Linked DNA regions of Arabidopsis thaliana. The main gene of each other region encodes a partner of the protein of the gene in region 2 in a complex. Each region holds a gene or a part of one and is shown on either strand. Other genes may lie near its edges.

Region 1 (4,388 bases), on a different chromosome or scaffold from region 2:
ACATGTGTTCTGTAGGTTATATTTGTCGACGCAGATCAAATTATAAGGACAGACATGGGAGAACTGTATGATATGGATATTAAAGGAAGACCTCTCGCGTATACTCCTTTTTGTGACAACAACAGGGAAATGGATGGCTATAAATTTTGGAAACAGGTAAACATTAATCTTTTTGTTTTGCTTGTAGAGGTAGTTTTGGTTTCCATACTCTTACATTCTCAATTGCTTTGAACAGGGTTTCTGGAAAGAACATTTACGTGGTAGGCCATACCATATCAGGTAAAAAAACCTACTTGAACCTCAGTAAGTTGTTGCTTTTCCCATTCTTAATGTGCCTTGTTCTATCTGTAGTGCTCTATACGTTGTTGACTTGGTTAAGTTCCGAGAGACAGCGGCAGGAGATAATCTAAGAGTATTCTATGAGACGCTTAGCAAGGATCCAAACAGTTTGTCCAACCTAGATCAGGCAAGTTGTATAATATGGTTCTCTATACTTAGGGCTGTAACCTTTCTTTGGTGGTCACACTATCGTTTTACTTTATTTGAAAGGCTTTTGCATTTGACTCTTACCATACACCATGCTCTGAATCTTTAGAGTTCCAGGTTCAAACATATTGATGGCATGTCATTATTTTGTTTCAGGATCTTCCTAATTATGCTCAGCATACTGTTCCTATATTTTCACTTCCCCAAGAGTGGTTGTGGTGTGAATCCTGGTGTGGAAACGCCACAAAAGCCAAGGCCAGAACAATCGATCTTTGCAATAATCCCATGACAAAGGAACCAAAGCTTCAGGTAAAATGATGGCTTTCCTCATATCTACAACACTCACAAAGCGTTGTTTGTTATAATGCGGTGTTCTTCTGCAGGGTGCCCGAAGAATCGTAACCGAATGGCCCGATCTTGATCTCGAAGCACGAAAATTCACAGCAAAAATCTTGGGTGAAGATGTGGAACTCAACGAGCCAGTAGCTGCTCCTGCTACAGACAAGCCTAATCCTCTTCCATCAAATGACATCTCTGAAGATACAGAACAAGACTTGGAATCTAAAGCAGAACTGTAAATTCAATGCTCCTGAAGTTTCAAAAGAGGAGAAGATAAATTAGACAATCATGGCTATTTTGCATTTGCTAGATAAGGTTTCTAGTTTTGTAGCTACAGTTTCTTAGACATCTCTCACATAAATTAGACAGAAGATAAAGTCAACAGATTGCAGGAGAATAAGAATATCAGTATAATATGATTTTGAATCAATTACAAACATAGTCACTCATAACGTATTTGTAAACTCGTCCGTCCAAAATCTCAAATCAAACCAAACCGACAAACCAGTAAAAAAACCGAACCGGAAAACTGACGTGTCAGTGTCTGTATAAAAAGCAATACGTGTTCTTTTAGCAAAGGGTCTGACACTCTGATAGAAAAGCTGAAGTAATTCAATAAATTATTTTAGAAGAGGGAAGAAATCTACGGTTTTACAAGGGGACGTTATTTATTAATGGATTTTAATAGAAAGAAATCCAACACTAATACACTGTTATTTAATTAATGATTTTAAATTCAATTTTAAAATTTAGTGTTATTGGAGTTTATATCTTTGTAAATCATGTTTAATAGATTTTAAAATTTTGTGTTATTCAATTAAAAGATTTTAATACCGTCAAAAAAAAAAAAAAAAAAACAAACTAAAAGGATTTTAAATTTTATTTCTAAATTAGAGAAGAATCCAGAGGAATTAATTTTCACCACTTTTCTCTTCTTATATATAAGTCAATCCCCGAAGTAACATTTTTGACACAGTTTTCAATTCTTCAGCAGACAGATCGATCACACTCCATCGATTCCGTATGAAACCCTAGATTTCTGCAACTGAATTCCTAATTCGAAAAAGAATGGAGGGTTCGTCGTCGACGATAGCAAGGAAGACATGGGAACTAGAGAACAGCATTCTAACAGTAGACTCACCTGATTCAACCTCCGACAACATCTTCTACTACGACGATACTTCACAGACTAGGTTCCAGCAAGAGAAACCGTGGGAGAATGATCCTCACTACTTTAAACGAGTCAAGATCTCAGCGCTCGCTCTTCTTAAGATGGTGGTTCACGCTCGCTCTGGTGGTACAATTGAAATAATGGGTCTTATGCAAGGTAAGACCGATGGTGATACTATCATTGTTATGGATGCTTTTGCTTTACCAGTGGAAGGTACTGAGACAAGGGTTAATGCTCAGGATGATGCTTATGAGTACATGGTTGAGTATTCACAGACCAACAAGCTCGTAAGTGAGATTCAAGAAACTTCAAAGTTTTGATTTTTTTCTTTAGAAAGTTTGTATATAAGTCAGAACAGTTTGATTGATTATGGTTATAATAACTTGACCTTTATAAGGCGGGGCGGCTGGAGAATGTTGTTGGATGGTATCACTCTCACCCTGGATATGGATGCTGGCTCTCCGGTATTGATGTTTCTACGCAGAGGCTTAACCAACAGCATCAGGAGCCATTTTTAGCTGTTGTTATTGATCCCACAAGGACTGTTTCAGCTGGTAAGGTTGAGATTGGTGCTTTCAGAACATACTCTAAAGGATATAAGCCTCCAGATGAACCTGTTTCTGAGTATCAAACTATTCCTTTAAATAAGATTGAGGACTTTGGTGTTCACTGCAAACAGGTACATTTTCTTGATTTTTCTCGGTGCAAGGTCCCAACATGATTCTTATGTTTGGCTTTTGGTTTTGGCAGTACTATTCATTAGATGTCACTTATTTCAAGTCATCTCTTGATTCTCACCTTCTGGATCTACTATGGAACAAGTACTGGGTGAACACTCTTTCTTCTTCTCCACTGCTGGGTAATGGAGACTATGTTGCTGGACAAATATCAGACTTAGGTAAACTCTTGGATATGGCCTAAATCATTCACTCTTACTTTTTTTTCTCAAGTCACAGTCAAGTAATGTGTTATATAATCGTTTTCGTAATTTTACCAATGAAGCTGAGAAGCTTGAGCAAGCCGAGAGTCATCTGGTTCAGTCTCGCTTTGGAGGAGTTGTGCCATCATCCCTTCATAAGAAAAAAGAGGTATGTCCTAGTGGTTCATCAAATTTTAATTGCGATTACGGTGGCTAGTTAAGTGCCTCTGTAAACATCTAGCTACTAAGAGGATATATCTTCAAATGTTTTGGTTATTGGGACCTGGAGGTGTTCTGTTTAGTTGAAATGAAAGTGTTGTTGAAGGTTGTACAGATATATAACTTTCGAGAATGTTAATGGGTGTTGCTTGTTAAAGATCTCATTTGACGTGTGTTCTAAATCACTTTCAGGATGAGTCTCAACTAACTAAGATAACTCGGGATAGCGCAAAGATAACTGTGGAACAGGTCCATGGACTAATGTCGCAGGTGAGTAATAATATTGAAACGAAATGGTGACATATCTCCCTTAAGGTTCGTGTATTTCACAGACTCAAAATCCATCATTGTTGTACTTGTAGGTCATAAAAGATGAATTATTCAACTCAATGCGTCAGTCCAACAACAAATCTCCCACTGACTCGTCGGATCCAGACCCTATGATTACATATTGAAGTTGCTCTTCTTTTGGTTTCTAGTTTTGGATTGACCCATCATTTGTTGTCCTTTCATTTATTTTCTGTTGTGTAAAGAATTATAATGCTAATGAGAATAATACAGAAGAAGATTTTGGTTAAAGAAATGTTTTTAAGCCCATTCGATTCGTCGGGGTTAAAGGAATAATCTTAAGCCCTTAAACAAAAATTGTATTTATGGAAATCAGAAACCTAGTGATCTTTTCCAACTCTATCCCCTCTCTCTTTCCTTCTCTGCACTCACGTTGTCCGTGAATAGGTGGTACTAAAACATGGCTAACAATGGCAATCATCTTTCTCTGTCTTTGTTTGTTGATGAAAAGTGTTCCTTATGGGACTGTCGACGACGACGCCCACAAGGAGCTATGTACTGCCAACCTGACCATCTTCAACAAGCTTATCAAGAACGCACTTCACACAACATGGCAAACTTATACACTTGAAGACGTAGTATTGCGGAGAATCTTAGAAAGCCTTAGTTATCCGGAGCTTCGTGGAAGTCCGGGGATACCAAACCTTCAAGAAAACAGTCAGTTATTGTCTATAGCTCCGCACGGATATGTTTCCTACAAATTTGACATGTAGCGAGAAACATAGCATATGGCTGTTTCTCGCGCTGTTCGTGCCCGACCAAGGGGTTTGGAAACTGGTTAAAGAACGGCATCGAAGGAACTATGTACGTGATAAATTTATACCACGTTTTGCTATGAACAATGGTTCAACATGGGAGCTATATAGGTTTACAGTGAAAAGTGACTCTGTAGCCTTTTTCACTATG
Region 2 (4,427 bases):
GAAGCATTCTCCTCTATATTCTTCTGAGGATCTGTATGCGTGGTTTCAGGAGTTCCTAGAAGAACAATGAAAGAAAAGAGACATCAATTTCTAAGGCTACCAATTCTGACTTTATAATTTCAATACAAGCTAATATCATGCATTTATACTATCTTACAATTTACCAAGCCACAGAAGACAGTATTATTATCTGACTAGTACTGACATTGAATTATACCGTGTGCTAAACATGAATATAAAGAGACTAACCATGATTATCCTCTGAGTTCTCTTTGAGATATGAAAGCATTCTTCTGTAATTTACAGAACCTGGCACTTTAAATAGCTTGCGCCGGCAGCACAGCTGTTTCATGTCACAACAGGGAAAATGTCAAAAACAGATTCTTAAATAAGGAACAAGACTGCAGCTTCTTAAAAAAAAACAGATCATACAGAAATTTTGTTGCCACTGGATGAAGTCATCTTCTTGAAAGGGCTATTGTTTCCATGAGCTTTAACAAAGCTATTGGCAGATACGGTTTCAGGAAGTCGGTAATTTGCTGCCATCAATTCACCTCTTTCATCCTTAGGATCTTTTGCATCACCATCTCGGGTAACATCTGCAGCTTCCATCAAGTAAGGAAGCATTCTTCTATAGCTCACAGAGCCAGGGTTCTTGAAAATCTTTTCCGGATGACGAATCTGTATACATATCACAAGAAGAAAATTAAGCAACCAACGAAAAGCCAATATTGTAGTTTAAACGCATCATTTGCTATAAAACCATGAGTAAAAAACATACCACTTTGCTGCCGAGATTGGTACCAACTTTCTTCCCAGAGACCTCACTGATCTCTTGATTGATAGAACCTGCTTCATTTTTCACCAAAGAAAGCTCACCGGTGAACATTCCTAAATCCGGTGGCGTCGTTTGTGAGCATTCCACTACTTCTAAATCACCTCCAGTAGCCACTAATCCATCAACAAGATATTTGCTTCCTTCTCTCATAACTGTTTTCACCATTGTGTAATCATTATAGTTTCTAAACAGATATTGAAATTTCCTAATTCCACCTTCATTATATCAACATTCTCCTAAATTTTCTTAGAAAAACTTGTACAAGAAAAAGACCTTAAAATAAGAATTACCATTAGAATTCGGAGTATCGCAAGGAGATTCCACATTTAGCTCCTTGGTTAGATTTCCCCCTTTCACATGAAAGTCCCAATCACTAGAGATGGAACTAGGAGAGAATACGCGTCTGAGACACAGATTCTTCACGGTGACACGAGAACAAGTTCGGGGCATTTGAGTAACAATTTTCCCTTTGATCGGTGACGCATGATGGTGACGAAGATCCGTGACAATGTGAGACAATGGGGATGCAAATCGAACGGAGGAACGATTGCTCTGAGTTCGTAATTTGCTTGCCATAAGGTTCTGAGAGGTAGTATAACGAACTGAAGAAGACGAAAATCGCATCTTCTTCCTCAATATAGGATCTGATTCGGCCATGGTAGAACTCGCGCCAAGAGAGAGCTACAGAGAGAGAGAGAGAGTGTGTGTGAGAGTGAGAGAGACTGTTTGTTATTTTGGCGGGAACAGACCGGGTGGCTTTATGATGTTTGGCGGGAAACTAAGGCTTAGTGGGCTTGGCCCATTTATCCTCTTGTGTTTGGTCAATTTTTTGGTCGGTTTAAGTAAACCGTATTGAAAAGATTATTAAAACCTGTAAATCTCACAGAATTTATTTTTCTTTTCCCTGGAGTGGTTTTGGGAGTAGAATTGTCATCTTCGCAAAAGCTTCGAGAGTAGTGCAATCGAAACAAGTCATGGATCTTTCGCCTGTTAAGGAAGCTTTGGCCGCCAAATCCTTTGACAAAATCGCCGATATCTGCGATACTCTCATGCTTCAGGTTCGTAATTTCTCTCGCTGTCGTTGTTTCTGATGTTCATTAGGGTTTTGTGAAGTGGATTTTGTGGTGTTAATCGTTCGATTTATCGCTTCTTAATTTTTTTTATAGGTTGCTTCCGAAGGAATTGAATATCATGATGATTGGCCTTACGCAATCCATCTTCTGGGTTACTTTTACGTTGACGATTGGTGAGTTTATTTTCTTCTTTGATGTATTTGTTTGCGTTGTGAACCTAAAGTTAGTTCCTTTATGAAATTAGAGATTGTTTCGTTGAACTCTTGTGAATTTTAGCGCGTCAAAGTTGTTCTTACTACTTCGATTGCTAGGTCCTAGGTTGAATCTAAGGTCTAAAGTCTGCTTTTTACATTACCTTGTTTCTATCCAGTGATTTGAAAAATTAAAACTTGACACAAGTTAGTAGTTGTTGAGACCCATTTAACATTTTTTTCCTTTGTGTATTGATAGTGAGTGTAGTATGTTGAAACTATTGAGTTATGGTTGTGCCTTCTTGACTATGGATTTGGTTTTGATGTTTTGCTGTGCTTGTTTGGAAATACTGCAGTGATAGCGCACGTTTCCTCTGGAAAAGGATACCTACAGCTATCAAGGAGAGGAAGCCTGAAGTTGTTGCAGCTTGGGGGATTGGTCAGAAGCTGTGGACACACGACTATGCAGGTGTATATGAAGCTATTCGGGGTTATGATTGGAGTCAAGAAGCTAAAGATATGGTTGCTGCCTTCTCAGGTAAATTTTTTCTCTGTTTATGACTTCTTAGCTAGTATGAATTGGTTTCTTGAACTAAGCTTGTTGATTGCTTATGTAGTTGTGTACTTTTATTACTTCATATCCCTCTTTAGGTTTTGAGCTTTGATATACATATTGAGATCGAATAGTTGTTTTATTGTTTTAACTTGTGAGGCCTAGTTTAGGATTTCTGTTATGCACAGAACCACCTTTCATCTTATCATTGAACTATTGGAACTCGAATTTGAATCAAATTTCATCAATGTATGTGCCTTATCACTTCTTCATTAGAAAGTAGTTGCTTCTGTGGTCTAACTGAGAGAGAGGTAGGTAGACTCACACAGGAGGAACGAGTAAGCAGTTGACAGACTTTTCCAACCAAATGTCTAAACGTTGATCTGAATTTTGTGAAGTTGTACCTTTTTCCACATCAATTGTTCAACACCTGACCTTTATGGGTCACTTTCCATCAGATTCTAATTCTATTTCTGAATTGGTTTTGTTGTAGATCTTTACACAAAAAGGATGTTTCAGCTTTTGTTGTCTGCCTACTCCACAATTACCATCCATGATTTAGCTCTTTTCCTAGGGATGACGGAGGATGATGCCACAACTTGTAAGCTTCTTTCTGCAATTTCCTTTGCTTACAAAAGATTAAGTACCTCATTTCACATTTCTATTGAATTCTACTGAATTGATTCTTATATTGATACTTTTGAAAAATGTCGAAGAGTTTGTGGCAATGTCTTAGCTTAGTGTTATTGTAGGCATGAATCTTATGACAACCATATATGTTACGGAATCAGAATTAACAGTATAATTGTTTTCTTTATTGCTGGATATATACACAGATGTTGTAGAGAATGGATGGACAGTGGATGCAGCTTCTCAAATGGCGAGTGTGAAGAAACAAGCTGTTAAAAGAGAGCAAAAGGTGGATTCATCGAAGCTACAACGCTTGACGGAGTATGTGTTCCACCTTGAACATTAAAACTAAGTGCCGATCTCCTATTAAGATAGTGAAATTCTAAGAACAGAATTCGTTTTTGAGAGATTTCACAATGACTGATTCTAAGTTGCAACATATCTTGACTCTTTGAGTATATGATGAATAACTCCTACCAATTTTACTCTTATAAGATCAGTTTACACCAACAGGCGAACTAAAACAAACATTTAAAAGATCAGTTTACACAAAAGACGAACTGAAACAAACAAAAGATGAAGTCAATATTATGAGCCAAAAAGGACACAGCCTAAATAACACACGTTTTCAGAACAAAATTAGGCAGAAACAAGAGAAGATCATTTTAGCGACTATAACAAGCTAGCCAATCTCTGAGATAAAAGATGATAATCTTCAAACCGGAGAGGTACTCTAGAAGAATAGGAGCCATTTGTCGATCTAGTAGATGACAAGCTGGGGTTATCAGAGATTAATAATTCTTAATTTATTATTAAATTATCGATAAATGAACAATTTTAAATTTATTGAGAGATTTTACTATTCTTTTATAATTTTTAAAACTGGTTTATGTGAAAAGCAGTTTTTGTAGTTATAATCAACATCCTTTTAAAAATAATGAAAAATATAAAAAGTAAATAATTATTAAGTCTAGAAAACAAAAAGAAAAAAAAATTGATACTGTAGAAATATTAGAAATAAACTCTTCAAAAGATTAATACAAATTTTAAAAAACAAATATTAGTAGGAGTAATAGTTAGAAATACTCAAATGTAAACATAAATTTGTATTAATCTTTTATGTTTACGATAGGTTTTGGTGA
Region 3 (6,025 bases), on a different chromosome or scaffold from region 2:
ATGCCGGATTTGTTGATCTAACGGTTGAGATTGAAGAATTGCAAATCGGATTCAGCTTCTGAGGACGCGTGTAATTTATGCTCATTGAAAATAGAAGAAATTGATATATTTAGTCAAAAAGGTTATGAGATTTGAGTATTTCTTTTTATTTTTTATTTTTTTTTTGTTGGTCACATTGAATATTATTGCCTTTGGTAGTTCAGTCCTATATTTTATTTGAGAAACAAAATCAGAAAAGAATCTATAATTTGAAGCAACTTTCATATTGTAATTTGGTATTCCTATATTTTATTTGAGAAACAATATCAGAAAAGATCAAAAGAATCTATAATTTGTAGCAACTTTAAATATTGTAATAGGAAATCTTTTAAAATTTATCAATATGAAATTTGTTAATTTATAATAGGTCTTGAGATTTGATCATGTGACTTCTAAACACAAGTTATTGGGCTTTTGTTTAAGTAAAGCCCATGTGTCAAAGAAATGGATTGTTTTCCTAGTTAGTGAAATAATCTTATACACACAATTTAAAAACAATAGAGAAAATTAATGTTGAAATGAGCAGATTAATGTGGGGTTGTACATATCAAGGTGGAACTATCACAAGGAAGAACAAAGAGATATCTTGAGGTAACTACCCAAAGAAAGAGCAATGAAACCCTACCATGACAATTTGTCCAGACTATAACGAGTTAAATCATTATCATGAATTCCATACCATGGCAATTTGTTTTCTTTCAATGGGATGTCTACCATTCCAAAAAAGTTTTGCCATCAACAACCGCATCTGTTCTTTTGAGTAAATGTAATTTTGGTAAACTATGTAGTCTATAATCATTAGTTACAATATGGATCTGTAAAGTTGATTCAAAAACAATTGTGATGTTCTCGAACGGGATCACCATAAACTTCATCAAAAAAAATCCTTTAAGCGAGAGAAACTCGTGATTTTTCGAGACAACGATTGTGTCTATGAGTCTATCGTCCAACCTCATCCAATACCAATATGTTCAGTTATATCTAAGTTGTAAAGCACATAAAATCGATTTGTCAGTCAGCTCACATGTTTAAACCAAAGTCGTATTCCAATGCGAGACTTGGTTTCCTAGTCTGAGATAGGTAAATTTCTTTATATACTACCCTCTATGTAACGAGAGAGTGGTTCTTTTTTCACTTTTAATTCATGAGAGCACTTTCAAAACATTTTGCATGTCATTGCTCTCAAGATTTGGGCTCACAACTTTTCCGATGACTTCTCGGTCATATCTTGACCATTCGATCAATTTTTCGATTGCTTCTAGTCGATTCTTTCTCAACAAATAATTATTTACGTTTCCATCTTAAATTGCTCCCTAAGCTCTAAAACACATAACATATCATCTTTTTCCGATCTGGTATCATAATATTAAACGTGGTATTGTCATCATAAAATACCTCATCATCGTGTTTTCCAAATCACGACGTGTTTTTTTATTTGTGTAAAAGATTTACTGTAGTAATTTAGGCTCACATATAAAAATATTTCTAAACAATATATTATTTGTTGATTTTTTTTTTTAATCTACAATCAATTTGGTAAACTTACCATCACAAATTAATTATAAAATTTATGAACTAACAAAAAAAAATATAGTATTTATGCTTAATATATATATATATATATTTTAATTTATTTTGGGTACTAATCTCATATGAGTTGTGACCATATTAAGTAAATTTTGTAAAGCGCCTCTCCGATCACCGGCACAGAATCTAGTCCCCGTTTATTTTTTTAATATAAAAAGAGAGCAAACTCCAAAAAAAAAAAAAAAAAAAGCGAGAGAGAAATCAAAACCTTGTAAGGTTTCTTAGGGTTTCAATCGAAGCGGGAGAGAAAATCTCAGAAGAGAAGCCATGGATGAAGCTTTGACGAACGCTTCTGCAATCGGTGACCAACGCCAGAAAATCGAACAGTACAAACTCATCCTCTCCTCTGTTCTCTCTTCCAACGATCTTCTCCAAGCTCAGAGATTCATCGATCACAGTAATTTCGCATCTCCCTTCTTTCTCATGGTTTCAACTTCATAAGAGATTCGACAACTGCTTTTTGTTCTTATGGAATTCGGTTTATATCAGAATTTCTGGTTTGATTTTGATTTTTGCTTCCTCACAATTTTTCCAGTTCTTTCCGATGATGTCCCGTTGGTGGTTTCGAGGCAGCTTTTGCAGTCTTTCGCACAAGAGCTTGGGAGATTAGAACCGGAGACGCAGAAGGAGATTGCTCAATTTACTCTTACCCAGATTCAGCCTAGAGTTGTTTCCTTTGAGGAACAGGTTTGTTTTCTCTTCGTGATACCTTACTGTTTAGCAGCAATCGTGTACTTTTTAAACCCTAATTAGTTTACCTACTTAACATAAGTTGAGAGGTATGTAGAGTCGCTTTGCTATTGTACCGCTTTGGTATGTGAAATCTACACTGAAAGCTAATTTGAGATATTTGTTTACTAAGGATGCTGTATTTTGGGATAACTGAGACAATGTACGTTGTGTTGTTTTTCAATCTCTTTATTCTAAGAGATGAAACTGTTTGTGGTGTATTTGCAGGCACTTGTTATCAGAGAAAAACTTGCGGGTTTGTATGAATCAGAGCAGGAATGGTCAAAAGCAGCACAGATGTTGAGTGGAATTGATCTGGATTCTGGAATGAGGTGTGTGGCATTGAGCAGAATTTTGTTTTAGTTTCCTCTCTATGTTCTTTTGTGTTGCTTATTTTGGATTTGCGGAATTCTTTATTAGGGCCGTTGACGACAACTTCAAGCTTTCAAAGTGTATCCAAATTGCTCGTTTGTATCTCGAGGTTTGTCTTTCCCTTTCATGTACATATGCACAATAGATTCTGTGTCCTTTTCATTAATTTTTAAGCATGTAAATCGGTTATCTCTGTTTATGAGATGAATTTACGCATCGCAGTAATGATTTATAGCTAGTTTGTCTTGTTTCCTTCTGTGGGTGCGTGTCAATCAGTTACAGAAGTTAGATCTTAAAAGCACAAAAGAAACCCGTTGTTGAATGTTGATTCAATCTTCAAATATTTGGACATTTTTCTAGAGAGATTTTATTTAAAGTTAAGTCTCTTGACCAAATCTAAGTGTCATGAAATTAGGAATATCGACTGTTAAGAGCATTATTCTGCTTCACTACATCACTTTTTTATTTATTGCTTGTGAGAGTAAATTGAGGCTAGCAGAGTTGTATAAATACATTTAGTTAAATTTTTATTGTTCTCTAATACTTTTGTGTTTTGAAATTTTCAGGATGATGATGCTGTAAATGCAGAGGCTTTTATAAATAAAGCTTCTTTCTTAGTGAGCAATAGTCAGAATGAAGTTTTGAATTTGCAGTACAAGGTTGGACCACCTTAAAGTAAACTAAGAATTTATGTGCTGGGTGATTAAGGAGCATTCGTTTTCAAGTTTTAATATATTTCTGTTTCAGGTCTGCTATGCTAGAATTTTGGACATGAAAAGAAAGTTTTTAGAGGCTGCACTTCGGTATTACGGCATATCTCAGATTGAGCAACGCCAAATAGGGGATGAGTAAGTGAACTGACTTATCTTTCTGCTACATCTTTTCTTCAAATTCTCCTCTGTTGGTTTCTTGTTCGGATGGAATAATGATTAATTAATCTTCTATCCATCTTTGGAGACTCTGTATTTAAAGCTAGTTTCCTACTTTTCCCCTCTCTGTGATTGAATAGTGTTCCTCTTTTCTCTCTCCAATACCTTTGTGATATCTCATATTCTGAAACGGTTATAATGTGTTTTCTAATCTTTTCAGAGAGATTGATGAGAATGCTTTAGAGCAGGCCCTATCAGCTGCTGTCACATGTACCATATTAGCTGGAGCTGGTCCTCAGCGTTCTCGTGTTCTTGCAACTTTATACAAAGTAATTCCCTTTTGGATTACAAATAGAATACTTTCCTGCTTGCTTATTTATTGTTTTTTATTTCTCAATATCTTTCTATTAACAGGATGAGCGTTGCTCCAAGCTGAAGATTTATCCTATCCTGCAGAAGGTTCTATCTCTTATTACCTACAACTGTTTCCTCTAGTAGACAAACATACATTTTCATGCTATTGGACATATAGTATTGTTTGAACTCACATATTACTCTTGTTTAAGCCGGCATGATGTTTATTAGATTTGATTCATTATCAAATCAAACAAGTTCACCATAGCTTATAGAGGCTTGGTTAGAAATGCATGGTAACTTTTTGTTTTTTAATGCAACTTTATAGGTGTATCTGGAAAGGATTTTAAGGAGACCAGAGATTGATGCCTTTTCAGAAGAACTAAGGCCACATCAGGTATGGACTGTGAATTAAGATTTAGATGTAGTTTTTGGATAACATCTGAGTTGGTAAGTAGGTTCATAACAAGTTATTACACTGTTGATTTCAACAGAAAGCATCTTTGCCTGACAAATCCACTGTTCTTGACCGTGCTATGATTGAGCATAACCTTCTTAGTGCAAGCAAACTCTACACAAACATAAGGTATGAGATGTCGAATTAGTATCTTCTTTGTGTGTCTAGACTTGTTTGATTTTCTCAACTATTTTATATCCTAGGTTTGATGAATTGGGAACTCTGTTGGCGATTGATCCAAGAAAAGCGGAGAAGATAGCAGCTAATATGATTGGGCAAGACCGAATGAGGGGTTCCATAGATCAGGTAAGCAATAAAAAATACTTTGTTGGTTGAGCTATGTAAGAGCCCTGAAGAGAATTCTCGTTAGTGTTGATTTTCTAGAAGGAGGTTCCTAGACGTGTTTTAATATTTTATGTTACTGTTCAGGAGGAGGCTGTGATTCATTTTGAGGATGACGTGGAGGAACTACAACAATGGGATCAACAGGTTTTCTATCTCTCCCTCCCACTCTTTGTCTCTTTAGAGCAACTATATATGATTGTTTGTTTTATTGGCGTGGAATATGACTGAAAAGTGGAATCTGTGCAGATATCGGGATTATGCCAAGCTCTCAATGACATTCTGGATGGGATGGCCAAGAAAGGCATGTCTGTTCCTGTCTGATTGACTCCCAAGCCGTGAGATCGCCTCATGATGATTAATTTGTATTAGCCGAGCAACGGATCGAGTCTCATGCCAAAGTTTTTGCCAAATTGCTGTGTTTTGGGGACAGTCATTTTCACCTTATTTACTTTCTTGCAAATTCATGTCTATGTCTTTAGGTTAATTGATTCAGAGAGGAAAAGATTAGGCATTGAATGAGGATTTTTAAGAAAGTTGAAAAGAGGTTCAGGGTACATTTTTACCTCAGAACAAATTATTTTATGCATAGATGAACCTTTCTTGTGCAAGAGAATGATGAAACTAGTAGTTTTTTTTTTTTTTTTGGCTCAACAACAACTTCTCATTTACCAAACGGTGATTACACAGAGTCTGAATACACACAATCTTTTATCCAAGCCGGCACCTTTAGAATACATTTTAGGATCATAATTCAATAAAGAAAGAGATTCCCTAGCAATTCTATCTGCCACACTGTTTCCTTCACGCTTTATATGCATCACCTTCACCTCCTCAAATTGTTGGAATATATGTCTAATGTCCTGAATTCTTGGGGCCAAATTTGGATAATCAGTATCATCCCCTAACAGAGACACTAGATGTTGGGAATCTGATTCAAAGATGACTTTCTTATAGTTAAATCTTGACATTGAAAGAGCTGCCCATCTCATAGCTTCAAGTTCCACTTCCAACACTGTCTGAACTCTCGGGATTGCACGAAGTCCCAGCCACAACATTTTCCCCTCATGATTTCTCAGATGAAACTAGTAGTTACATATAACATTTTCCCATTCGTTGTTTAATTTTTATTCTTGAACGATCAAAACTTATGCGAATTTAAGAAATGATCAATGATAACAGACGAAACTGCTAGTAATAATAATGAGAAACTGTTGCAACAAAATTTCGGAAGATTCGCAAGAACCGACTAGTAAAATGTGTTGCAACACCAAAC

The links.
Region 1: COP9 (region 2) and CSN5B share a complex: the UniProt entries of both Arabidopsis thaliana proteins name them as parts of the CSN complex.
Region 3: COP9 (region 2) and COP8 share a complex: the UniProt entries of both Arabidopsis thaliana proteins name them as parts of the CSN complex.

The regions. Positions count from the first base shown.
Region 1 is NC_003070.9:26,850,667-26,855,054, forward strand, and holds CSN5B (COP9-signalosome 5B), read left to right. Parts: upstream 1-1,739; 5' UTR 1,740-1,893; coding exon 1,894-2,283; intron 2,284-2,393; coding exon 2,394-2,675; intron 2,676-2,746; coding exon 2,747-2,894; intron 2,895-2,998; coding exon 2,999-3,084; intron 3,085-3,326; coding exon 3,327-3,404; intron 3,405-3,496; coding exon 3,497-3,589; 3' UTR 3,590-3,753; downstream 3,754-4,388. Other genes in the region: EBS1 (EMS-MUTAGENIZED BRI1 SUPPRESSOR 1), read left to right, coding at 16-156, 236-279, 352-466, 643-795, 870-1,064; AT1G71235 (uncharacterized protein), read left to right, coding at 3,893-4,139, 4,357-4,388. UniProt on the Arabidopsis thaliana protein: Probable protease subunit of the COP9 signalosome complex (CSN), a complex involved in various cellular and developmental processes such as photomorphogenesis and auxin and jasmonate responses.
Region 2 is NC_003075.7:8,132,253-8,136,679, reverse strand, and holds COP9 (COP9 signalosome, subunit CSN8), read left to right. Parts: upstream 1-1,691; 5' UTR 1,692-1,812; coding exon 1,813-1,896; intron 1,897-2,004; coding exon 2,005-2,084; intron 2,085-2,458; coding exon 2,459-2,640; intron 2,641-3,148; coding exon 3,149-3,256; intron 3,257-3,491; coding exon 3,492-3,631; 3' UTR 3,632-3,800; downstream 3,801-4,427. Other genes in the region: AT4G14120 (uncharacterized protein), read right to left, coding at 1-55, 250-343, 433-681, 782-990, 1,129-1,495. UniProt on the Arabidopsis thaliana protein: Component of the COP9 signalosome complex (CSN), a complex involved in various cellular and developmental processes such as photomorphogenesis and auxin and jasmonate responses.
Region 3 is NC_003076.8:17,236,518-17,242,542, reverse strand, and holds COP8 (Proteasome component (PCI) domain protein), read left to right. Parts: upstream 1-1,726; 5' UTR 1,727-1,893; coding exon 1,894-2,023; intron 2,024-2,161; coding exon 2,162-2,313; intron 2,314-2,583; coding exon 2,584-2,687; intron 2,688-2,775; coding exon 2,776-2,836; intron 2,837-3,293; coding exon 3,294-3,386; intron 3,387-3,474; coding exon 3,475-3,575; intron 3,576-3,816; coding exon 3,817-3,925; intron 3,926-4,010; coding exon 4,011-4,055; intron 4,056-4,278; coding exon 4,279-4,347; intron 4,348-4,444; coding exon 4,445-4,536; intron 4,537-4,610; coding exon 4,611-4,713; intron 4,714-4,836; coding exon 4,837-4,896; intron 4,897-4,998; coding exon 4,999-5,073; 3' UTR 5,074-5,390; downstream 5,391-6,025. Other genes in the region: AT5G42965 (Polynucleotidyl transferase, ribonuclease H-like superfamily protein), read right to left, coding at 5,418-5,807. UniProt on the Arabidopsis thaliana protein: Component of the COP9 signalosome complex (CSN), a complex involved in various cellular and developmental processes such as photomorphogenesis and auxin and jasmonate responses.